Linked DNA regions of Nothobranchius furzeri. The protein of the gene in region 1 purifies or fractionates together with the protein of each later gene. This does not show direct contact. Links are inferred from orthologs where the notes say so. Each region holds a gene or a part of one and is shown in the gene's direction. Other genes may lie near its edges.

Region 1 (8,493 bases):
AACAACAGTGTATTTTGGTGTTAATGAAGTCAGATCTCGCAAGTTTACGTCGACCTCCATGAATAATGAATAAGATAACGAATCTCCTGCTGACCACTCAGAAAAGTTTCTGGTCTTCCAGCAGGTAAACAAAACCAGTCAAAGCAGGTTTGCGCATCATCAAAAGGTCATAATTTAATAGCAGTATTCTGGGTTATTTTGCCCACCATGAGCTAAGTATTTAATTTAGAGATAAATATTTATTTTACAGGCTAAATATTTAGGTCAGACCTAAAAATTTTGCTTGTAAACTAGATATTTACTTAACTAACTAAATATTTAATTTGAAAAATATTTAAATGTTAAACTTCAAAAATATATATTTAGATTCCAGCTACTTTTATTTGCTAAATCAATATTTAAATTTAGTCAAAAATAAATATTTAGCTGGGACCTAAAAATTTTTTGGAAAAAAAAAATCATTTGGAGCTAAATATTTAATTTGTAAACTTAATATGTAGCTCCAAATCAAATATTTGGTTAGTAAATAAGATATTTAGCTGAGAACTTTAGCATTTATAAATGTATGAATAACATGGTGAAAATGTGACTTTTGTAAATGAACTCCCGTTTTTTTGATGGGCTAAATAATCCAAAATATTGCTGTTAAGTTTATAAACTGTTTGACTTTACAAATGGCACCCCACATAATCACACCCTAAAAAACAAGAATGCAGAGAACAACCTCCAATCTGCATTCTTGTTTTTTAGGGACTCCTCTACAACTGATCTGATTTTTTTTGTCTGTTAGAAAACTATCATAAACGACTACAGGGATTTTAATGAAACCTACAGAATTCACGTTCGTATGATTAACCAGACTAAATATGGCCGCCACAGCCAGTACACAACAAAATGACTCAAACGCAGTCAAATCTGCTGCATGGATCTCCATCTGGCGCCACAGAACTAAAGGGTGAACAGATCAGACAAGAGCTTTGTGAAATAGAAACTGGACAAATTTTAAATAAGAGTCTTAAACAATTTCCTATACTTCTATATTGAACTGGGGAAACTCAACAGTAGCAAAAACGTTTAAAAACCAGTGAATTTTACAGATAAGGAGCTGAAACTTTGCATCATGGTCTAATTCTACTACCATGTGGATAAAAGCACATTTACTTCCTCTCAGGCTGATTTGGGATGTATTTAATCAAAGTAGATAAACATCTTTGCATTTTCCTCAAACCGTTGAAAAGCAAGTTTTTCAAATATCTCTTTTCTGAACAGGAAGTGACAAAACTGTTCAAAAATGAACCACGTGGAAAACACTGCACTGTGCTTAAGAATCTTCTAGAAAAAGGTTCTTTGCAGCAACCCCTCCCCCCTTCCTTCCTTCCTGCAGACCCTTTATCCTCAAATGACCTTTCACCCTAATCCATGCATGGAAGTTTCCCTGCTGCCTGCTGTTTGGCGTCTCTCAGATGCAGAGTGGATCATCCACCTGAAAGCTCCGGTTGTTTGCATTTGAAAATGAATTCCTGCATTGCCCGTTTGACCACCTGGAGGTCGTTCCCAGAAAGGGCCTTTAATGCAAAACAGAAAAACTGGCTCCAATTTAAATTGTTACTGTCTTTCCTGCAAAAACAACCTTGTTTACTGATTTAAAAAAAACTTCATTTTCACCATTTAAAAGCTGTTTTTTGCTTATATGAATGTTGATGGTAAACTTTTATTTATACAACCACATTAGACTCTAGTGTTTTCATTAATAACATACTATAATAATAATGTAAGAAAATGTGTGGCTCTTTAAAAAATGTAAATTTTGAACGTTAACATTTGTTTTTCTTTAAAAATCTTTTCAGAAGTTTTTGAACTTTATGCATGAAAGGGTTTATATTAGTTAGATCATTTTCATTCTAGATGTTCAAACAAAATCATCTCATGTTGAAAAATGGTGGAATTGTTGGTTTTTCTTTCTTTTTTTTCCAGCTAAATATCTGAATACTTCTGAGTTAAAAATGCTTATGAAACGTGTATGTGGAGTAACCAGGTAGGTAGGTTTTAGTAGTGTTGCAAATCTGCAACGCCTGCCTCCAGAGGGTTGCTCAAAGACAACACCCAGCAGCATTTTGTTTAAAACTGAGATGCATTTGGTCTAAAATGAACGTCTTCTATGTTTTTAATCCAGTTTGATATCAAAATACAGTTAGTATTTTGGCGTAGATAGCCCGAAAAGAAGGGGTTGAATTGATTCACAGTTGAAAGTGTCTCCCAGGCAGGATCTAACACGTACGTGTAAATGCTCCCTTTGCTTACCCTAAACCCATCTTCCAGGTGTTTCTACAACACTCTGCTAAATGTTTTCTATTGGACGCATCTTTCTAGACCGTTGTGTGTGTAAATGTGCATCTGTATTAAAACTAGAGCAAAACCACGACCCTGAGAAACGAATGCAACCAAAATGATGTTTTCATGTCTGGTTTTTAGCTCACTTTTTCCTACTTTGATGAAACTAAACAGTTTCCTGTCATCCACTAAGAAACTTGGGAGTTTTTAACCCAGTTTGGGTCAAAATGAGTTTTGATAGAAGGACGACCTCTGAGTTAAACAATGCTCATGAAACACATATGTGGAGTAACCAGGTAGGTAACTGTTGCAAACCTGCAATGCCTGCCTCCAGAGGGTTAACCCAGGTGAGTATTATGTGTTACTTTTTGCATCGTATCCCAGCATGTTGTGATCACATCGGCTCTTCAGGTTTCCTCCAGTTGCTTCTAGTCAGATCTGATCAGAATGGGAGGGGTGGGGGTGGGAGCTCTTACGTTTGCACTGGGCAGCTGTTACCAAGACCCGCCCTCCACGTGCTGCAACAGACACAAATAGATTCTAGATCTTTCCGTAGGCATGTTGGGGGCTTGTGGGTCTGGGGGCAGGGCGTTAGGGGGGTGGGACCAGCGTGTATAAAAGCTCTGCAGCATGTGAGTCAGGCATCAACTTGGAAGAACATTTTCTGAAAGACTTGAGAAGACTTCTTCTGCCCGACCACAGCAAGCATGGCTGAGAGAAATATTCCCTTCACCCTGGCCCGCACTCCCAGCTGGGATCCGCTCCGGGACTGGCACCACAGCAGCCGGATCTTTGACCAGATCTTCGGCATGCCGGCCCTGCTGGAGGACTTTCCCACGTTCCCCAGCTCCCGCTGGCCCGGCTACCTGAGGCCCTCCATCCTGGGCACTGACATCATGATGCCCCACAGCCACATGTACCCGGGACAGATGTTGGCCCAGCAGGCTCGTGCCCTGTCCAGGCAGATGGGCAGTGGCGTGTCAGAGATCAAGCAGACGCAGGACAGCTGGAAGGTGTCCCTTGACGTCAACCACTTCTCACCTGAGGAGCTGGTGGTGAAGATGAAGGATGGTGTTGTGGAGATCTCTGGTGAGTTTTCTCTCTTCTCTAGGTGTTTAAGTAACCTGCAAACATTCAGGATCTTTTATTCAGGATCCAGGTTAACTGAGGTCATTGTCTCCAGATGAAAAGGACCCCTCCCCCTCTTCCTCACATGGGTGGGAGTGGGATTCTGGCTAGAAGCCAACAGATACCTGTGAAGCAGCTTAGTTTTACTTTTTGTTTACATTTTTACTGGTGGCATGTGAGGCCTCCTCCCTCTCGGACTCGCCCTCGTGATCCCAGTTCTTCCAGTTTGCTGTGACTCCCCAGTGTCTGCAGCTTTAAAAGGACTGCTGGATCCGGTCCAGTTGACTGGACCTGGTCTGAGCACAGAGATAAACAAAGCGTGTGATTCAGTCTCACGGAATGGCACAAGAGATGAATGACATCACTAGCTGTTTATTAATTATTTTTTTAATAATTTCTGTTGTTTCCACAGGAAAGCACGAGGAGAGGAAGGATGAACACGGCTTCATTTCTAGGAGCTTCACCAGGAAATACACGTAAGCTTTTATTTTATTTTTTCAAAATCTGCAGGTTTGTGCAAAATGCATGCAGTCAAATGTATTCTGTATATCTGAAGCTGAAGTTTGGAGTTCTGAAATGCCTTATCAGCCACCTAGTCAGTCATATCTGGTTTATTCAACTCCACAAGTCTGCTGCCACCTAGTGGCCACACCTCTGCTACTACAACAATGTGTAACACTGTCTCCTCCCCCCTCCTCCAGCCTCCCTCCTACCGCTACTTTCGAGAAGGTGACCTCCTCTCTCTCCCCTGAGGGGATTCTGACCGTGGAGGCTCCTCTGATGGCCATCGAGTCGACCGAAACCACGATCCCCGTCACCGTGGAGAAGAAACCCGCCGTGACCCAGAAGTAGATAGCAGCGCTATACACCCTGATGCCATCAACGCACACGCATGCATGCTTTTTGTTTTAATCCACAAACGTCTTCGAGGAGATGAATCTTGTTGTGGTTTTTTTTATTACTTTTTAATTAGCTTTTTCATTTGAAGTAAATGTTGATGTTGCTTCTCAGTGGTCATTATTAAAATCGTGTGTCCTCAGGTACCTGTTTGTCACTGAGCTGCTTTTGGAAATAAAATTAACAAAAAATATTCTTTTGTCTTTTTTTTCATGATGTGACACCAACATGGGTCTGTGTAGTTGAGCTACGTCTGAGAATGAATTTATGTGGCTAAATTATATCTTTTGGTCATCCATGCAAAAAGCGCATCACGAAAGTCCTGTTTACTTACCTGCACATAATTGTTGTTTGCTTTTTAAGCAAAATCTAATAAAATAACATGCAGCCAGCTAACAACTAAATAAATGAACTCAGTCAAATGATCAATTGGATTTTACTAAACGTCCCATTAGTGCATGTAAAGTGGGCGTGGCTTAAACTGAACTGACAACAGTCAATGATGCTCAGCTGCCGGAAAGAAGCCAGCCATGCTGGTTATTTTCATGTTGTTCTGCACCAGCTGATCATCTGTAGGATGGAACCTGTTTCCATCACTTCTTTCTCTCCTTCCATAGCATCATCCTTCAGGCTTTCGTGTTGCACGTCTGTCCGGAAATACACAGACCAACTCTGCTCCTGACCCCAAAGCTGCAGGGGGAAATCTATATATATAGACACCATGTCCTGAGCTTCCAGCGTGCTGTGTGGTCACAGGGAGCCGGCAGACAAACCGGCGGAATGTTCTTCCACGGCTTTTGGCCTGTAGTGACTAATAGGTCAGCTATAGTTGGATTGATTTCAGATTTAACTCTGGCAGCCAAAGCAGATGTCTATTAGCTGACCATTACGTTATAAGCACACAGTTCCTGAATGCTACTGACTCTGGACAAGGACACTCAGCGTTTCCTCCTCCATGAGTCACAGTTTCCCTCCACTTTAATGCAGGCCTGAATTATTCATGCCAACCCCATCAATCCAGGAACCAAAGCTAGAAAAGTGCTTCATGTGAAGAGCAGCTGGGTCCTGGTCTGCTGATCTCATGAGCGGGGAGGCGTTCACTAGCAAAAAACGTTAAAGTCACTCAAACTGAGAAAACACTGATTACGTGTCACCATGGTGATTCATTTTCTATTCAAGGACATAAATATTCATGTGCATAAAGGCAACAGAAGTCTGAAAGTGGTTTATTGATGTATCACACCAGACCCGCCCCAGTGCATGCTGGTCTGTTACCTGCTCACATATCTGGCTCTTATGGTCTCTAGCCGGCTCACGTCAGGCAAATTTAACAAACAGAATAGTTTTACAAAACTGGGTTCTGGTCATCCGTTTAAAAAAAAAACAAAAAACAAAGGAAAACACAAACTATGATTATTTCAAAAGGTTGAGAAGGTAGTAATAGCACCTGTTGGAGTTTTGTGGATGAATCTGGGAATCTAAAAAGCAGCAGAAGATCCATTTCCCACCAGTGTCACGCACAAAAATTGTGGATTAGGAAATGTTTAAAACACACCTTTGTGCATGTTTTACAGACCTACTGGTAACTAAACTGGTTTCAGTCCTTCCTGGAGACCTCACATGCAGCAGCTGAGGGCCCCAGTGCATTCTGGGACATGTGGTTTCAGTGTCACTGCTAAATGAGTTCTCAACTATTATGTATTTATCCAGATCAGGGCTATCCAATTTGGGGCTTGAGGGCCGGTTTCCAGCACGTTTTGGTTTTAATTCTGCTTTAACACACCTGATTTTAATAAGTGATTAACAGGCTTCTGCAGAGCCTGATGAGCGGCTGCACAGGTGATTCAACCACTGAATCAAGTCTGTTGGACCAGAGAAACCACTCAAACATGCTGGATACCAGCCCTCGAAGCTCGGAATTGAATAGGCCTTGTCTAGATTGATCAGATGTAAAGGCACACTTGTCAGTTTTGGCTTGCCTTTAGCACCCCCTAGTGTCCATTATTCATTATCTGTGGTCAAATCGAAAGCAAAACCTCTCCTCGTTGTAGTTGTCTTTTTAACACCTTTATTTAACAGCTGAAACGTCTCACCTGCCTTTATTAGTGTCTACAGGAGCGGTTCATCACTAAATTAAACAAATCAGCTGTGCTCATGATCTAAAACATGCTGTTAGCAGACCGCAGCACCAGGCGTGTCAGCTAAATTTTTCTGCCAGTCTGAAGTTGCAAGTGCGATATTCTTGGGGGTCTGAGTGACATTTCATTAACTCTGTGAAGGGTCATTTTAGCAGTTGTCATTTACAAATATGAAAATGTATCCCTTTAATGTTTAATAATCTGCTTAGAAAAAAAAGTAGACCAAAGGGTCTCTGATTGTTTCAAGATGTCAGAAATCCTTTACAAATGAGCTGAAATCAGTTTTTATCCAAAAGGACCCACATGTCAGATTTTACCCTTGGATGCACTACAAGTGCAACCTTTTTACATCTAGGTCCTCAGAGATGTAGAAAGCGTTCGTCTCCTCCGCTGCAGCTCATTGCAAATTGCCCTTTCCCTGATTAGTGCTCACTTGCTGCTCCCAATTAGTGCCTCCCTTCTCTGGGGGCGGGGTTATTTACTGATATGTCTGATGTCCCCAGCAGCATTATTAGATTAATGTGGTAGGGTTCAGAGGGATAAACTGTTCCACATAAACCTTGATTAAACAGATATATTAAAGACTCAAAAGTCTTTTTTAATGTGATTTTTTGTTTAACTGAAGAAAAAGCTGCACACTGTTAATGTTTCACACACTGTCGGCCTTCGTTTTCAGCCTGTTTGCCACAAACCTTCGCTGAATTCCTCAGAGGGTTTTCCTCCACAGGCTCCATGATCTTCCAGCCTGCTGCTGTGTTCTCCGTCTCCATGGCAACAGCAGTTCCCTCCTCTTCACCAAGTCCTTCCATTAAGATGCAGTAAAACCACATCTCTACCAGTGTGCTAACGCTGGAATGAAACGCTACAATTTGCTTACCAGGTTGATCAAGTTGTTGCATTTTTATTTCAAACTCATATCCTGATACTTTATTTTATAAACCGGAGGATTGTTTTATTCCTAAATTCTACAAATCGTGTAACCGTTCTCTTTCATCTGCTGGTTTTATGGTCCGTCTGAAGGAAACGACACCTGAGATTAGAGCAGTAGAGGGATTTGGGTTTTCCTTCCTTGGAGGAAAGGGAGAGCAGCAAAAACCGCCAACCAGGAACCTGAAGCTAAAAATTCCCACAGGATCACCAGAGTGGGACTAATGAGTCTGGATTTCAGCAGGTTGGGTCAGAATTTAGTGTCTTTAACATTAAGCATATCCTGCCTGTGTGGTGACTTATGGTGGGAAGATGTTCTTGTCCCTTTTTGGACCCATTAGTCCCACCTGAGCCTGGTTTTAACTCTACAGCCTGCCTGAGTATTGTTGCTGACCAAGTCCATCCCTTTATGACCACATGGACCCATCTTCTGATAGTTACTTCCAGCAGGATAACACAGCATGTCACAAAGCTCAGATCATCTCTAAAGGGTTTGTAGAAGATGACCGTGAGTTCACTGGACTCTAGCGGCCTCCATGTATCTCAGTCCAGTCCAGAACCTTTAGGATGTGGTGGGACAGGAGGTTCTGATCTGGTGCTGTCATGTCAGTTTGTACCAGAACCTCTGAGAGATGTTTCCAACACCTTGATTTAATGTGGTTCTGAAGACAAAAGAAGTCTAGTAAGGTGTAGAAGCTGGTGAGTGTTTTTGGATGTACAATTTGTTGATTTGTAGTAAATAAACGAGGACTGCCTGGCTGCAAATCCATTTACTTCTGGGATAAATTAAGCTAAACTATTTTTTTAACGTGTGCCTAAAAAAATCTTGGCAACAAAGATTAGAGACTAGAAACAACCGTTTTCTGGTCGAGAATAAGTGATTCCCTTCTCTTGAACAGAATCATGCATGTTCGACGTTAACATTTAATTCTGCTGAAATTGAAATCTGACTAAATCCAATTAGTTGTAATAATCTGCCAGTCAGGTATTCATTGCAAAGTAATTTTCCAAACCTAAGTGAGATTTAGTCTGTGGTAAAAAGCTTTTTGTGACCAGCAGTCACTCTCCTAAT
Region 2 (9,164 bases), on another chromosome or scaffold:
GAATGTGTTCAGCCATGTTGCAGAGTCACTGGGCTTGTTTGAGTTGAGCAGCGCCTCGCCTGGAAAACAGACGAGAGCAGACGGACGCAGCAGGGGGAGTGGCTGAAAGTCGGCATTTAAGCCGAACAGATTTCCATACATGTGTAGCTCACGGGTGACAATGGATGAAGATATCGCGTTGGGGTTCATACTGGTGCCTGTTAGCAACCGAAACACATCCTCATGTGATTGTGGATATCATATATTGTATATGGGGATATGACTAAAATAGTAAGTAAAAAGGTTATCAGCTGTAGGTTTAGTGTGCTTATAGGAAACGTGAGAAAATATCACATTTCTCTTTATGGCCTATATTGTCATCAACGTAACATGATTTACAGAATACATGTGACCAACTAACGTTTCATGTTCTACCAGCGGATGTTTGGATCAGAATGTGAACCAATCAGATCGGGTGAGAGCCAGGCGTTTCCCGTCATCCCCTAGGTTTTGCAGCCGGTGGAGAGCAACTGCTGCGCCTTGCTCCAAAATCTGCGGCCGCCTTGATCTCACGAGGTTATCGTTGCCTACGTATGCATGACATCAGAGCAAGTCGACTTCAAGTCGGACACAAAGCTAACCGGCATGCATGGCGCGCCGATAACCGGTGATCGAATCTGCGCAGAACTGGCTTATCTCGAACACGGCCACTATCAGCAAGACACTCCCCGCTGTCTCCTCGCTGCTAATTTTTTTAACAGCCTTTCTGTGAGCGGGTGCAAGCCAAGATGAGACCATTAATGCAAATTCACAGTGTGACATCACAGTGTGAGGATTTTTCAGATCCAAGCATTTTGCAGAAGTTAACACAGGAGATAGCTGTGGAAGACTCAGTGACAGATTATAATGAGAAATGAGAGTTTTTCAGGCAACCACACCTTTAAATTGTAAATACGTTGGTGTCCTTGAGGCATATAAAGGAAGACAAATAGACATATGTCTTTTTTATCTAGAACACATTTAGCCTCTTGTCCAAAATGCTTGTCCAGTGCTGAAACAGGAGCTGAGGTATCAGCCTTTGAAGTTGAAATCAGAAATTAAATCCCACTGAGATACCGAGGTGAGACGAGTCTCTGGGCCTAACCTTTATTCCTGTTTGTGTTTTTAACACTGACAATTCAAACGTCGTGGTCACATGAGTGTCTAGGTGTGAGTTTCTGTGGAGGGGGAAGACGAATCAAGGCTGCTTTGTGAGAGATGAAATCCAACTTTGAACATTTGAGGTGGCTTTGTGGCTTCCTCCCTCTCTGGTCCTGATACTTCTAACCCATGTTTCAGCACTGAATCTTTTTGGATGAGAGACGAAACATCTTCGAGATCAGAGATGTCCAGTAGCCTTCTTTTAAAGCGTTCGTGATCATTTGTTTATTTCCAAGAGTCTCTTCTGCAAATGGTGGTTTTTTTATTCATAAGAAGTTTTCAGCTGTTTCTAAGTCAGCCTGAGTGATTCTGAATTATTCAGCAGATGAAAAGTGAAGCCATAAACTCCTGTTTACAGGTGCTGCCATGTCGTTTTAAGGATGAGGGAATGAAAGTTCTGCATAAACATAACAATGGTGTTTTATAAGCATCCAATAAATAATTACAGCTAAGGGGAAAACATACTATTTGAACACGAAGCAGCAAGATAGGAACCGCATTGAATATTCAGGAGTCAACATTAGAACGGTGGTTCCCAACCTTTTTTCATGAGGAACCCATTTCCTGTCCAAGACGAGCCAGGACCCCCAGCTCCTACCCACAGTTAAAAAGATTCATTACAAACTTTACACACACAGAGTTGTAGCTGTTATACAGATTTTTAAACACATTATTGGGGGTGTCATTGGATTTCATATATGTAATTTTTACAAATACAATCTAACCTAACAACCCCATGTGGGTCCCCATCAGGGGGTCACGGACCCCACGTTGAGAACTGATCTAGAAGAACCTAAAGGAAATGTATTTGTTGAGAGAATGACATCCCCATCTGTTTACAGACTTGAATCCTCGTCATGCCACTAGGGGGCGCTATACTTGTTAGAGCTACGTACAACTCACAGTACATGCTCCATTCAGATGTCTGATGCACCAGAATGAAGAGGAAATCGAATGTAAGTTACTTTATGATAGGATTTGTACAAATATCCATCTCTATGGTAACAGAGAAGGGTTGAGTTGGGTGGAAGGCAATATATTGTTGATATCTGAAGTAAGAGGTCAGGACAAGCTGGCTCTAGATTACAGAAACATAACAGCAGCAAATAACCATGTCCAACCATGTCTGCAGAACAATGTCTTTGGACCACAACAGGGACACACATTTTCTGCTAAAATTACTGAAACCATCTTGTGTGTGTGTGTGTGTGTGTGTGTGTGTGTGTATACATACATACATACATATATATATATATATTGCTCCTGAAAATAGAGTTTTAGGTATAATACTGCAGCTAAATAAATTACTCTTGCTTAACTGATACAGAGTATTTACTAAAGGTGTCCTAAACAAAACAGTATTGTGCTGTGTCTCGCCTTGCGCTATTCAGATTTGTAGCACACATTTAATTTACTGGTTGAGGTCATGAACGCACCATCTCAAGATCCAAACTTGCCTGAATTAGGGAATCTCTTGACATACAAACATCTATTTCTTTGCGCCAACAAACTCAAGTCCTAAATTGTGGATAACAGACCTCCTGTTGGTCAACTGCAGAGTTGGATACTGTAACCTTGGTCTTTTCCCCTGCATATTAAATCCAGTAATTAATTTGTACAGAGATGTGTTTGGAACAGGTAAAGCAACTTTGGCTAAATATTCATCTTAACCCGCCAACACGTGTCACTAAATTTAGGATTGGTATCAAATTCCATCGACTCATTTTTTTTTCAGCCCAAGGGCATTAAATCTGCATCACATAACTTTGAGAGTTATTTTGGTGTATTTCAGAGGTATTCAATTCTGGACCTGGAGGGCCAGTATCCAGCTTGTTTCAGTGGTTTCTCTGCTCCAGCACACTTCATTCGGTGGTCGAAACACCTGTGCAGCAGCTCATCAGGCTCTGCAGAAGCCTGCCAATCATCTGCTGATTTAAATCAGGTGTGTTGAAGCAGGGTTGAAATTAAAATGTGCCGGATTTGGAATACCCCTGTTTACTTCATATGCCTAGCCTCACAGCTCATTTAACGCTCCTGCAGTGTGTGTGTGTGTGAGACACCTGAGCCTAGTTTAAACCCCACAGCCTACCTGAGTATTGTTGCTGCCCATGTCCACCCCTTTGTGACCACATGGACCCATCTTCTGATGCTACTTTCAGCAGGACAATTCTCTGTGTCACAAACCTCAGATCATCTCTCCTGATTTCTACAGCGATGAGTTCCCTGAACTTCAAAGACCTCCACAGTCACCAGATCTCAGTCCAGTCCAGAATCTTTGGGATGTGGTGGATTCTCATATGGATGTGGCTGTGTGATGATGTCACGTCAGTCTGAACCACCAGAACCTCTGACTAATGTTGCCAACTCCTTGTTGGATCCATGAGTTAAAGAATTGAGATTTCTGGGGCAAAATAGGGTCCCAACCAGTACTAATGAAGAATGGTGAGTGTACACCGTCCTAAACACCCACCCTGTGGTACACACCTGGTCTCACCCATTAAATAATTCTCTAGTTTAGTAAAATCTATCAATATTTGATTTTTTTTATCTCAGCCCTCACTGTTTATATTGAGAATAATACTCAAACGTAACAGATTTAAAATAAAAGTTATCCTCTTGTTATCCAGAATGCAACGCATCATCACGTGATCCCAAGCCCTATGTCTCTTAAATCCGCCTCCCTCTGGACCGTCCCGTGAAGGACTCTAAATGTTTTAATACTTGCTCAACTCCACTAATCCATCATCGCTGCAGCAGCGGTCTCTCTGCTGAACTCACATCCTCCGAATCCTTAATTTTCTCTCCCAAATATGGAGCAGGAATGTCCACCGTGACGTCGTGCGTCAGGGGGGGATGCGGGGTTGTAACCACATAACTACGCCCTCTCCGGTCTGAAGTCCTGGTAGGCATTACACAGGAAGAGAGTTGGGAAAAAGAAACCTCCTCCTCCTCCTCCCCCTCGTCTTGGCGGATAACGGTGTCCAAGAAGTTATTGAGGAGCGACGCCGACGAAAGCCTGTCTGTCTGTCCGCCCGGACCCCAGCGCTCATTGATGCTTTCCTCTTCAGGTCCGAGAGAGGAAATCCGTCTGCTGTGATCCCATCATGGAGGATCTGGGTGAGTAAAACATCTGTTCTTCGCTCCATCTGCGGGACGACATGTCGGGATATCTGAAGGGATCAGTGGGAAGGGGCGGTGCGCCCCAACAGGAGGAAACGGGCTCTGTTGCTCCCGGTTGTTCCTCAGAGATCAGCACAAAGGAAAATCAGGAATAAAGAGTAGTTTCATTCAATAACAGGAGTTCACACAGCATGCAGATCCATCAGCCTGCTTGTTTGGGGTTTTATTGTTATTTGTGCAGAAATTGGACGCCCCCCCCCCCCCCACACACACACACACACACACACACACACACGCACACACATTTATTACTGTACATCTGACTGACCACCACTGAGTTTTATTCACGCACAGCCTGCAAATCCAACGCGTTGCAAATTAATTATCTTCATCAAAAACAATTCCTAGATACATACTGTTTATTGTCAGTATGGATTTTTCCTCTAATTAATACAGAAAAGGGAAAAAACGAGAAGCTGAATCTTTCTGTGTTACCGTGGCCGTGTTAGAAAGGCCCTGAAATAGCCCAAAGCAAACGCTGCTATTTGAGAAAAACCACAGAGTTCAAGGAAAATGGAAGACTTTTTACTCTGCTGCCCAGTCATTTTCTCTCTTTTCATATTTATAAAGTCCAGTTCAGAACAGAAAGGAATACAAGGACAAATGGCAAGATTTGGCCGACCACATCTGGGCACATCTGGATTGAATAGCAAGGAGTTTGGTGACTGGGTTGTATGGGGTCCAAGTTAAAAGTAAAAATCCTCTTAATTATGAATTATGTTAATAATTAATATTTCAGCCTGCAACATAAATTTAAAATGTTTATTTAGGAGTAAACGTTTAAAGCTGCAGGTTGAAATGAAAAAAGTTATAAAAGTAGTCGTTTTTAAGGATTAATAGGCCAGTATGTAAGTTCAGACGAAAATGTACCAAAATAAGAGCGGGTGAAAAGATGTCATGCTGTGATTAGACTGAATTCATAAACCCATGAATTATTTGTCAATGTTCCTGTATGAGTTTCCCATGGAAACTGAGAAATAGACCCACACAGTTTAACGATCTGTTTAACAGTTTAACCCTTTTAGAAGTAACACAAATCAGCGTATTATTGCCGCCACGGTGTGTCGTATGAATGCGCGGTGGCAGCATGGCGTTATGCCACCACGTTTGGTAGTAATATTACCAGAACGCAGGACTTGTGAATGCATATTACGCCTTAGAGGTGTCATGATCAGGTGGGGAGTTACTGCCGAGCTCTGGCCCTAAGTTTTGCTCTTGTAAACAGAATCAGCTGAGTTGATAAACTGGAGTGATGTGGAGCTCCAGGAGCTTCTCTCCGTTAAAGCTAGAGCTCAACTCACCAGAGACTGCACAGGGACTGTGGAGGACAGCCTTTCTTGGGAGTGGCTTGGTAAAAAAATGTAAGGATCATGGCTTCAGTCGCAATCAAAAGTAAGTTATGTCCAAGATAAACTGAAGTCCGTGGCAGCACAGAGACCGCCCCATACCCCCTTTATACCGCCATCACTTTATGTGTTGTAAAAAGGACACAATTGTGCCACATTACCACCACAGTCAGACCACTTATAAATGACGGAAGGCTCCTTGATGCCAGCATGGCGTTGCGGCTAATTGACGGCATTGTTTTCTAAAGGAGGCTAGGGTCGCCACACCTTGTTTTTGTTGTTGTTGTTGTTTGTTTTCAGGTTAACTTGTTTTGTTACTTGTCTGAATTTGCATGTTAGTTTATATAAAGGTGAAAACCCACAAATTAAAATGTAGTTTTCAAAATTTTTATTTAGATTCATACAATAACATTTGATTCTGAATTAAACGTAAAATATTTAGATTAAATTCTACTTATTCAGATCTTATTCTGACTATTCAGATTGAACTTTGAATTTGAAGATGCATTTTGAGAACTATTACTGTTCATTTTTTAACGTATTGCTTTTACAGTCAGTGCCCCATAGATTTGTGCTGTTGTTGAGCAGAAAGTTTGAAGCTTTTCAGTGAGCGAGGCCACTTGTTAGAGAGGCTCTTTTGGCCAAGACAAACAATTTAGCAGGCAGCTCTAAATATGGTCATGATTGCTATTAAGAGACGTTCAGCTCCTTATATGTGCAGTCCGTGTGTGTGTGTGTGTGTGTGTGTGTGTGTGTGTGTGTGTGTGTGTGTGTGTGTGTGTGTGTGTGTGTGTGTGTGTGTTTAAGACACGGAGACACAGCAGACAGGAGGGCATGCCGTTGTAGACTCTCAACACAGGGTCGTACCACAAGTGTGAATCATCAGGAGAAGAGATGACCGCAGAGCTCGTGGAAGACTGCTTGGATTCAGTTCCGTCTCTTGACATGAATTAGAAAACCATCTCCACAGGAGAGAAAGTGTGGTTGGTTAAAGTTACTTCATAACATCAGACCGAATCAGAGAAGCAGGGCTTTGAAAAAGAATCGGGAGTGCAGTTTTCAGGCCCAAGCTTGAGGAGAGAAACTGAAATGTAAATATCTGCTGTTCCGTCTCACAGCAAAGGATCGATGTGCGGTCATCAGATCAATTATTTCAAATGAGATGTTGTTCCTGCCGTTTTCAAGGTGTAAATTTGGTCTCTTCTTTGTTTTCATTTAAAATTAGACAGCTGTAGATGAAAAAAAACTCAGATGAAGTGATTGGTTTGGTGTTAAAACCAGATGTAGAAACGTAAAGCTCTGCAGTGTAGTCTCATTTATTTAACGTACAAGGGCGTGAAACACCTTATAAAAGTTGTTACAATCTTCAAAGGACTTTTCTTATTTCACCTTTACCTGACTACTATTGACAACTTCCTAACGATTGTTCTCCTGTGGTCTGTCAGACGGTTGTTTTATTTGGCTCGGCAGAAGTGCCGTAGAACAAATTCACGTATAAATGTTTTACTTCATCTGAAGAAAACAGAAAGGCACCAAATAAACGTGGACGCCTGCAGACTTTAGACAAGCTCGTCCCTTCTGCTGACGAAAGTCTTTTTACAAACGACATGCCTGGGATCCCTTTAAATGTAGGTCACATTGGAAAGAAAAATCTGTGGCTGCATAACTAATACATGTGATGGAGATGTAATCTAGACTTTTAAAGGTGCAGAAATAATAATTATTTAGTCTAATTCTGAACATTAATTTAAAATATCTTATCTGGCTTAGAATTTTTTTGGAACATCTGCTTAAAACGGACCTGTGGTATTACATTTTTGTTTTTAAAGTATTGTATAACAGTTTATGTAATCACACATTCATGTTGCTCATCATTAAAAAAACAGTTCACCTCTGGGTTTTCTTTGCATAAAATAATTATTTAATGTCTTTTAACGACCGTTTTGCTGGCTGAAGCTCAGCACTTTGACGAATCGTTTGATTTGCTGGAATCTTCTGTGCTCTCGTTGTTGTTGTCCTGCATGCAGCATGAACACTTTCCCACTTTTTTCAAAAACAATTCAGAAGATGCTGCTTGAGCATTTCCTGATCTATTATCCTTCAGTCAAAGAAGGAAAGTTTCTTTGATCCACAAACCACAATACCACCTCTACCGTGTGTCTGTGATAATGAGATAAGATCGTGTTCTTGATCCCAAAAAATAAAAGGCTTTTGGGTTCACCCACTCTGCTTTGTCTCTCGGCTGCATGTGGAGTCAGAGCTAATAGATGTCACCCAGCTGCAGAGACTAACACTTGAGTTCCTGGTCCTCTGAATGAGTGTGGGGGCGGCTGGTGGAGTGAGTTTGGATATCAGTTTCCAAACACTCTTCCTCCTCTGTTTCCTCCACGCTCTGCCATGTAGTGGATATAAAAGCAGAGATGAATGCATGTAGTTGGATTCCTGCCCGCTCTCCTTTCTGGCTGAATAATGTCTTGTTGTTTTTCATGTCATCTGCAGTGTCTGGGCTGACTTTCTGCAGCTGTATTTGTCACACAGGCTGTCTGTCTCTCCTCAGGTGTGCCTGAGCCACCTAACTACCCTCTCAGTCCTCGTATTGTTGTGTTTGGTACGTAACTGGATGCATGTTCCATCGTCCCTGCTTCTGATTCACTGGTTCCTGTGCTTCACCCAGACGTTTAGATGGTTTTTTGAATAAATGTCCTTGTTAGTGACTATAAATGTAGAAAATCAATATCTAATGGTTAGTTATCTTTAAATCCAATCACAAATCAAACTAAACTGCGGTTTAAACACTTTCCTTCTTTCAGATGCCCTTCTTGCTGATCTGGAGAACACCAGCTCTCCTCTACCACAGTGTCCTGTCTTGTTGACCTCTGACCCTCCACAAAATGCTGATGCCCCCTCCCAGGACCCGGCTCAGGCTCGACCACCACCTCCAGCCTATACACCACAGCAGGTAGATGCTCTGGGATGCATGAGCTGACTTAGGCCCTGTCCACACGTAGCCGGGGATCTGCCAAAACGTAGATATTTTTCTACGTTTTGGCCTGTCATCCACACGAAAACGGAGTTTTTTCACACGAAAACTGATCTTTTTTAAAACTCTGGCCAAAGTGAAGATCTGCGTTTTCTCCGTTTTGGGTGTCTGCGTGTGGACAGACAAAACCGGAGTTTTAAGGTCCGCAACGTCACTTTCCGTGACAAAAAAATGCTGACATCACGTGTGCGACCTGTGTTTACACTAGCCGACAGCATGGATGCCCTCAGAGCTGCGCTTGCTTTATCAATTGTCCAAGCGCTTTTTGCTTGTTTGTTTTTGCAAGCGGAATTACTGCTCCTTGTGGAAGACCACAGACGAAGGACGAGGTTAAGAACGGGGGAAGTACTGCCGCCTACAGGTCTAGCATGTTCTTAACAACGTATTTATCCGGGTACGTGTGGACAGAGTTTTTGTTT
Region 3 (7,397 bases), on another chromosome or scaffold:
AGCACAGAAAAATGTTGTTATTAAAAGCTAATTCTCGTTTCCTAAGAGGTCCTTAATTAGAAATGTTTGTTTCTACTAAAATAATCCCAAATAATCCAATACTTTATAATAAATTATTCTTTAAAGCATTTATGTATTATGATTGGGTTAGGGTGATTATGTTTTAACATCTACATTTAGGCTAAATATGACATCAACATTATTTCTACACACAAACGTTTGAAATCTTTGGAATGTCTAATTTTATTTTAATGTTTTCAAAATGCCTGAGAGTGAAACTGAAATGGACATAATCTACTTTTATGAGACATACAAGTATTTTGTTTTGATGTAATGTTTATGAATATTTAAATCACTACTGTAAGATGCTGGGAAGTTAGAGATACATTAATTGAATTATGACTAAATATAAATATTATTATTAATAATCATAGGGAAAGGGTGGCTTGCCAACTCCGGGTCGGGGGAGAGGTCCTACCTCAAGTGGAGGAGTTTAAGTATCTCGGGGTCTTGTTCACGAGTGAGGGTAGGAGGGATCGGGAGATCGACAGGCGGATTGGTTCGGCATCTGCAGTGATGCGGACGCTGAGCCGATCTGTCGTGGTGAAGAGGGAGCTGAGCCAGAAAGCCAGGCTCTCGATTTACCGGTCGATCTACGTCCCAATCCTCACCTATGGTCATGAGCTTTGGGTAATGACCGAAAGAACGAGATCACGGATACAAGCGGCCGAAATGAGTTTCCTCCGTAGGGTGGCCGGGCTCAGCCTTAGAGATAGGGTGAGGAGCTCGGACATTCGGGAGGGACTCGGAGTAGAACCGCTGCTCCTCCGGATCGAAAGGAGCCAGCTGAGGTGGCTTGGGCATCTGGTCAGGATGTCTCCTGGACGCCTCCCTGGGGAGGTGTTTCAGGCACGTCCTGCTGGCAGGAGACCCCCGGGTCGACCCAGGACACGTTGGAGAGTTTACATCTCTAATCTGGTCCGGGAACGCCTTGGGGTCCTGCCAGAGGAGCTGGTGGAGGCGGCTGGAGAGAGGACGGTCTGGAGCTCCCTAGTTGGGATGCTGCCCTCGCGACCCGGATAAGCGGAGGAAGACGACAACAAATAATCGTTATTTTACTGAATTAAAAACCTTGTAAAAGTTCTGAGATGTTTTATCTGCTCTTTAGTCTGAAGTCTGTTTATAAACCAAAAAACCTTCAGCAAACCTTATTTACACAATTACATAAATATATTTTATTTATCTGTTTATAAATAATTTGAACATTTTCTGAGTCAGAGCTGACAAATCCAGTCTTCTGATCAACACGAGTGAAGTAGATCCTCTATATGTGGCTTGTTGTGAGATGCTGCAGCTGTTGTTGTTGTTTACGTTTTCACTCACATCCCAGAATGCAATGCAAGTCTGATAACAGGAGGGTGTGGGCCTCAAAGCTGCAACCTTTTGAGGCCACCTCCTTCATCGGGTCTCAGAACTACACTTTTGTTTTGCACCCTAAAGAGAGCTGCACCAAGCAAGGAAGCGGACCAGCGTTGAATATAAACAGCCGAAACGTCACACGTTCTCTTAAATATGCTAAAAGGGTTTAAATCACCAGAGATATTAACAAACGACCTCCATACAACTCTAGAGGTTTACAGAGAACTCTGTCACTTCCTAACCGTTATCGATGATAAACTCGCCGCTCTGCTGATCTCCTTCATCTCGTTTGGGTTTTATAAACAGAAACAAGCTGAACTTGGGATGGCGGTGGCTCCTGCCTCATTGGCAGATCAGATCATTGTGCTTGAAGATGATGAACCTGCGTGTTCCTCTGCCACCTCCTCCTCCTCCAAGCGACAAACCAGTAACGTCTCTCCAGCCCGCCGTCAGCAGCAGGCTCCCACACACATCGTCCACTCTCCTTTTGCTTCCAACAGGAAGAGCGTAAACGCTCTGCAGGCAGAGAACCAGAAGCTGTTCAGTGTGGTGAGTTTATATATATATATATATATATATATATATATATATATATATATATGTATATATATATATATATATATATATATATATATATATATATATGTATATATATATATATATATGTATATAGTTTTATTCTCTAACAAAACCAGATTCACCAAACGCTTCATCAGGTTCCTTTCTGCCTTTTCTCCAGTTTTTGGAGCACTGCACGTCTCTCACTAAGGACTGCCCAGAGGTCTTAACCTTCCTCCAGACCAAGCACGCCAAGGCCAGCGCTGAGTTCCTGTCCTCCGTGGAGTTCAGGAACACGCTGGGACGATGTCTGACCCGCGCTCAGGCCAACAGCTCCAAAACATTCGTCTACATTAATGAACTGTGCACCGTGCTCAAGCAGCACAGCGTCAAGAAGAGGCCGGCCCTCAGCCAGGCGGAGCCTTCTGCATCGACGTCGGGTGCCACCCGGTCTGCTCCCGATTCACTCCAGAGTAAAACTAAAGTGGAGGAGGAGGAGGAGGGGAAACCAGCCGCAGAACGAGCCTCGACGTCAGGAGGTCAGGAGGTCAAGGAGGAGAGTGAAGAAGCGCAGCGGAAGGCTAAGAGAGCGTTAAGGAAACAGGTGAGTGTTTATCTCTGAAGGCTTTAATCCTGCTTGTTTGAACTTTTTCTCACTTATTTGCAGTAAAATGAGCCGAAAAGCTGATTTCCTTTCAGCAGAACCCCCCCCCCTTATGGTTTTACTCGCTCTGATTTCCAGATCGCACACCTGGAGAACCTGCTGAAGTCGTACAACGATGAGATCAGCCGGCTGCAGCAGGCCGAGCTGACTTTAGACGACATGGAGACGGAAGACTCCACGTACATCCAGGAGCACAAACTCAAGCGGAAGGTCGGCTGAGCGGCAGATTAAACCCGGAACGTTGCATCTCCGGTGGGACGACGGGTGACTTTTTTTTTTTTAACGTCTGTTTCCAGATGATGAAGATTTACGAGAAGCTGTGTGAGCTGAAGGGCTGCAACACGCTGACGGGGCGAGTGATCGAGCAGAAGATCAAGTTCAACACGACTCGCTTCCCTGAGATCAACCGGAAGGTGAGTTCTTCTCTTTCGGTGTCATTCCAGCGGGTGGATTAGCGTTTACGTAGGATGTGTTCCTGCTTCCTGTCAGATCGAGCGCTTCATCAACAGTCCCGAGGCTCGTAGCAACCCTCCGGATTATCACGACATCCGGCAGCTGGTGGTGCGCGTCAACGAGCGCCACAACCTGTGTTTGAACCGGAAACAGGTGAGTCAGATCGCCCAGGAGGCCTTCAGGGACACGGGCAGCCTCCTGCAGGAGCGGAGACACCTCGACCTCGTCTACAACTTCGGCTCGCGTCTCACCGACGCCTACAAGCCCGGTGAGGCTCCAGCTCCGCGTTCACGCTGAATACTTTCATTCATTCATCCATGTTTGTGCCTAATCCTCTCATCTCTCCTCCTCCGGTGGAAGCTGACGACCCGGCTCTGTCCGACCTGTCTCTGCTGAAGAAGCTACGGTCCAACAGGGAAGTGGCTTTGTCTCGTCTGGATGATGTCATCAAAAAGTACGCCGTGAAACAGGACGACACAGAGGAGCAGGAGAGAATCCGGAGACTGGAGAAAAACGGGAAAGAGAAAGAGGTGAAGGAAAAATCCCGGCGCATCAGCGAGGCGGAATGTTCCCTTCCTGCTGGTCCGGAATGCTGTTTTATATACCTTTTTATCCGAGGATAAAACAGGAAGCATCAAAACAGTTCCAGGAGTTAACATCTGCGCTCCGACTCTACTTCTTTTACTTCCATGATCAGAAACCAGAAGAAGGAAAACAGACGAGTCAGGCGAACGGCGTGGAGGAGGAGGAGGAGGACGAGGAGGAGGATGAATCATCAGACCCTGACATAGAGGAGGAGATCCAGGCCAGCACTCAGCAGGCTGCCGCAGGTCAGATTAAATCTGGGATTAAAACTGTTTGTGAGATTTCTCAGATTTGATGTAAACTCGACTCGGTTCCTGTCATGGATTTATCAATGTGTGTGTGTGTGTGTGTGTGTGTGTGTGTGTGTGTGTGTGTGTGTGTGTGTGTGAGTTCTGGACGAGTGGGCATGCAGAGAGGCACAGAGCGATACATTTACATTCAGTTGGTTGAGTCCATGATCAAGAATTAATAGACATGAATTTTTCCATAACAGTTCCAAACGGGAGATTATAATCTGCTGACCCGTGGAGAGGTCACGACCCGGTGTCGTTAATCCAGATTAGCTCGGTTTAAAGATTAAATCATCAAAATTAGAAGTTCTGACACCAGTAAGAAGCTCCAGTCCAACCAGCACAAACTGGTTTGTTTTTATTTTAATCTTAACTTTACTGATGTTTCCTTTAGATGACGATGAGGAGGAGGAAGAGGAGGAGAATGCTAACGAGGCAGGTCAGTCATGCGAGGACGACAAGGAGGATCAGACGTACGAGCAGACAGGAAGTGCTCCAGCAGGCGGCGATGGAAGCCCGAGGGCTGAGATGGAGCCGCTCACCAGCGAAAGTCCCGTCTCTGAGGAAACACAGATGTCCAGCGTCCCGTCTCCCAGAGACAGCCCCGGCCAATCAGAGCTCGTTCAGTCGGACACTCGGCAGACGTTGTCCAACGGGACAACAGCAAACTTAAAGAAGCTCGCCGCGTCGAATCAGCTGTCGGTGGTGATCATAAAAGAAAACCAGGTGAATAATAAGAAGTTGGCCGTCCCAGCAGCCGTTAACGGGGATCCTTCACCTGAGCGAGGAACACCGAAGACCAGCGAGTCTCCGCCCCCCAGCCCCAGAACCACGAGGAGCCAGAAGAGGAAACGAGAGGAAAACATGGCCGAGACTCCCAGAAACCTGAGACTAAAAATCAGTTACGACAGGTGAGTGGAGCGCTCACACACACACACACACACACACACACACACACACACAAACTCACACACATACACACACACACACATGCACGTGCATGCACCCTCACATGCACACACACGCACTCACACACACACACACACATGCACGTGCATGCACCCACACACACACACACATGCACGTGCATGCACCCACACACACACATGCACGTGCATGCACCCACACACACACACATGCACACACACATACACACACGCACACAAACTCACAAACATACACACACACACACACACACACATGCACCCTCACACGCACACACACGCACTCACACACATACACACACACATACATGCACATGCATGCACCCACACACATACACACACACACATGCACACGCATGCACACACACACACACACACACAAACATATACACACATACACACACATGCACCCTCACACGCATATACACATCCATACACATGCGCATGCACACACACACACATGCACCCTCACACGCACACACACCTACTCACACACATACACACACATACATGCACATGCAAGCACCCACACACATACACACACACACATGCACATGTGTGTGTGTGGTAGTACATACGTAGCAGGATGTTGGGCAGCTACAGTAATCAGATTACACGTTTGTTTAAACCTGAAGATTTTAAACATCTTTTTTCCTTAAATTCTCCTGAAATCAACATTGAAAGTTTTTGTGAATTCGATCGAATCTTTAATCACTGAGGAATGTTGCGTTGAGTAAAACCAAATCGGTGCGTTGGAACGGCGCCAGCGGGAGGTGTTCAGTCCCAGAGGATCGTAGGTTTGACCCTCGTTTCTGGTCACTAACTCCCGTAGCCTCCGCCGCTCCGACTCCTGCTCAGAGGAGAGGCTTCCGCTGGAGGAACACGTTTGTTTTATTCGATGTCAGCATGAGAGCGAGGCTGCGTGACTCGGGAGAGACAGCTGAGAGCCCACGCTATCCCCAGCACACACACACACACACACACACCTTTACTCTCTTTATTAACGTGCTTCCTCCTCTTCCTCAGCGACGCCGACATCCCTCTGGACATGGGCGTCATTAGCTGCAGCTCTCCTCAGGACGCCTCCACACCCTCTCAGCTGATCTGCAGCCCCCAGCTGACCCCGCCCCCAAAGAAAAACAAGGTGCAGAAACCGTTAAATTAGATAATTAATGATTGTTATTTCATAATAATCCTAATTTATTTACGGATTTAACCCTCCCACTGTCCTAATGGATGTGACCCCGCCAGGAAAGTTGACCTTGGAGCACGGTTGATGGTTTATCCCTTGGGTCCACGTGGCAGGGGTGAGGAGAGAGCACCACCTCATCCCTGCCACGTGGACCTCCCCTTAGGACAGTGGGAGGGTTAAACAGCAGCGATGAAACGGTGACATCACAGGTCATTCTAAAGGTTGTGCTGACTCTGCGTCTCCAGGTCAACGTGGCGACTCAGTGCGACCCGGATGAGATCATTGTTCTGTCCGACTCGGAGTGAAACTGGACTTTACCAAGGACACGTTTCCTGGTGGACCCTGAGGGACTCGTAGAGCAGCGATTCAGCGGCGGCTGAAACAGACGTCTGTACCTCGGCTCCGGAGTATTCCTGATGATCCGGGACCCGTCGGGTCGGTTCCTCTCAGCGGGGACGAGTTGGGCCTCTCCACTTTCCTGACACGAGCAGCTCTGCTGGTGTTTCTGTAAATAAGAACCGGTGCCTGACGAGAGCCGTCGATCGTCTCGCTCTGCTGAACGTCTGTTTCCGCCGACGCTCGACGACTCGTCACATTTTAACACGATCTGGGATTTTCTTCCACGGAGCAGCAGCAGCTTTAGATCCGAATCAGCGAATGTTCTGGTTCATTTCCTCCTCGTTTGTTTTTATTTATGCTGTTCTTCTGTTAGTATGGTGTTGCCATGGAAACGTGTGAAACGCAGCAGTTTTAACACGTAAAATGACCTCATTTTTAGATTTGTGATGAAATGAGTCGGCCGCGGACTCGGAATACGTTTTATTTGCCGGAACAATAATTTCCACCCTTTCTAAGAAGTCTAAAGCACAAACGTTTACATTGTTTACATTTCTACGTTAAAACGTGAGACTTGCGTGTCAGATGAACTCGGACACGAAGCGTTAAAGCTGTTAATCAGCCGCCTGCTGAGGAAAACGCTTCGGACCAAACCTCCATCATCAGATTTTCTAAGTAATAATAAATATTTTTATCATCCTGTGCAGAGAAAAACAACCTCAGAGCAGTAATTGTGTCTCGTTTTTATTGGTTTCAGCCACGTTCCCCGCTGCTGACGGACGCTTCCTTTTAAACCGGAGTCGTTTGGCGTATTTTTAAATAAAGCTGAGTCGTGCGTGCGAGTCGGATGGATGCTCCCTCTTCAGGCGTTCCCGTCCCGTTTTCCCTGACGGGTGAAAAACTCTTGAGATCGGTCCTCGCTCCTGCGGAGGAGAGCTCCGTCCTTCACTGTGAAC

Evidence for each region.
Region 2: the proteins of hspb1 (region 1) and transforming growth factor beta-1-induced transcript 1 protein purify together in Homo sapiens (affinity purification with western blotting; 3 studies listed by BioGRID). This does not show direct contact. The link is inferred for Nothobranchius furzeri from reciprocal best matches to the Homo sapiens genes HSPB1 and TGFB1I1.
Region 3: the proteins of hspb1 (region 1) and daxx purify together in Homo sapiens (affinity purification with western blotting; 3 studies listed by BioGRID and IntAct, with this or other methods). This does not show direct contact. The link is inferred for Nothobranchius furzeri from reciprocal best matches to the Homo sapiens genes HSPB1 and DAXX.

The regions. Positions count from the first base shown.
Region 1 is NC_091750.1:66,230,068-66,238,560, forward strand, and holds hspb1 (heat shock protein beta-1), read left to right. Parts: upstream 1-2,948; 5' UTR 2,949-3,038; coding exon 3,039-3,420; intron 3,421-3,871; coding exon 3,872-3,935; intron 3,936-4,160; coding exon 4,161-4,311; 3' UTR 4,312-4,549; downstream 4,550-8,493. UniProt on the Homo sapiens protein: Small heat shock protein which functions as a molecular chaperone probably maintaining denatured proteins in a folding-competent state. Plays a role in stress resistance and actin organization.
Region 2 is NC_091756.1:34,930,621-34,939,784, reverse strand, and holds the start of transforming growth factor beta-1-induced transcript 1 protein, read left to right. Parts: upstream 1-4,151; 5' UTR 4,152-4,283; coding exon 4,284-4,296; intron 4,297-8,262; coding exon 8,263-8,313; intron 8,314-8,515; coding exon 8,516-8,664; intron 8,665-9,164. UniProt on the Homo sapiens protein: Functions as a molecular adapter coordinating multiple protein-protein interactions at the focal adhesion complex and in the nucleus. Links various intracellular signaling modules to plasma membrane receptors and regulates the Wnt and TGFB signaling pathways.
Region 3 is NC_091759.1:22,799,240-22,806,636, forward strand, and holds the end of daxx (death domain-associated protein 6), read left to right. Parts: intron 1-1,725; 5' UTR 1,726-1,743; coding exon 1,744-1,968; intron 1,969-2,158; coding exon 2,159-2,581; intron 2,582-2,719; coding exon 2,720-2,851; intron 2,852-2,937; coding exon 2,938-3,054; intron 3,055-3,130; coding exon 3,131-3,362; intron 3,363-3,454; coding exon 3,455-3,624; intron 3,625-3,791; coding exon 3,792-3,924; intron 3,925-4,363; coding exon 4,364-4,880; intron 4,881-5,939; coding exon 5,940-6,057; intron 6,058-6,350; coding exon 6,351-6,410; 3' UTR 6,411-6,632; downstream 6,633-7,397. UniProt on the Homo sapiens protein: Transcription corepressor known to repress transcriptional potential of several sumoylated transcription factors. Down-regulates basal and activated transcription.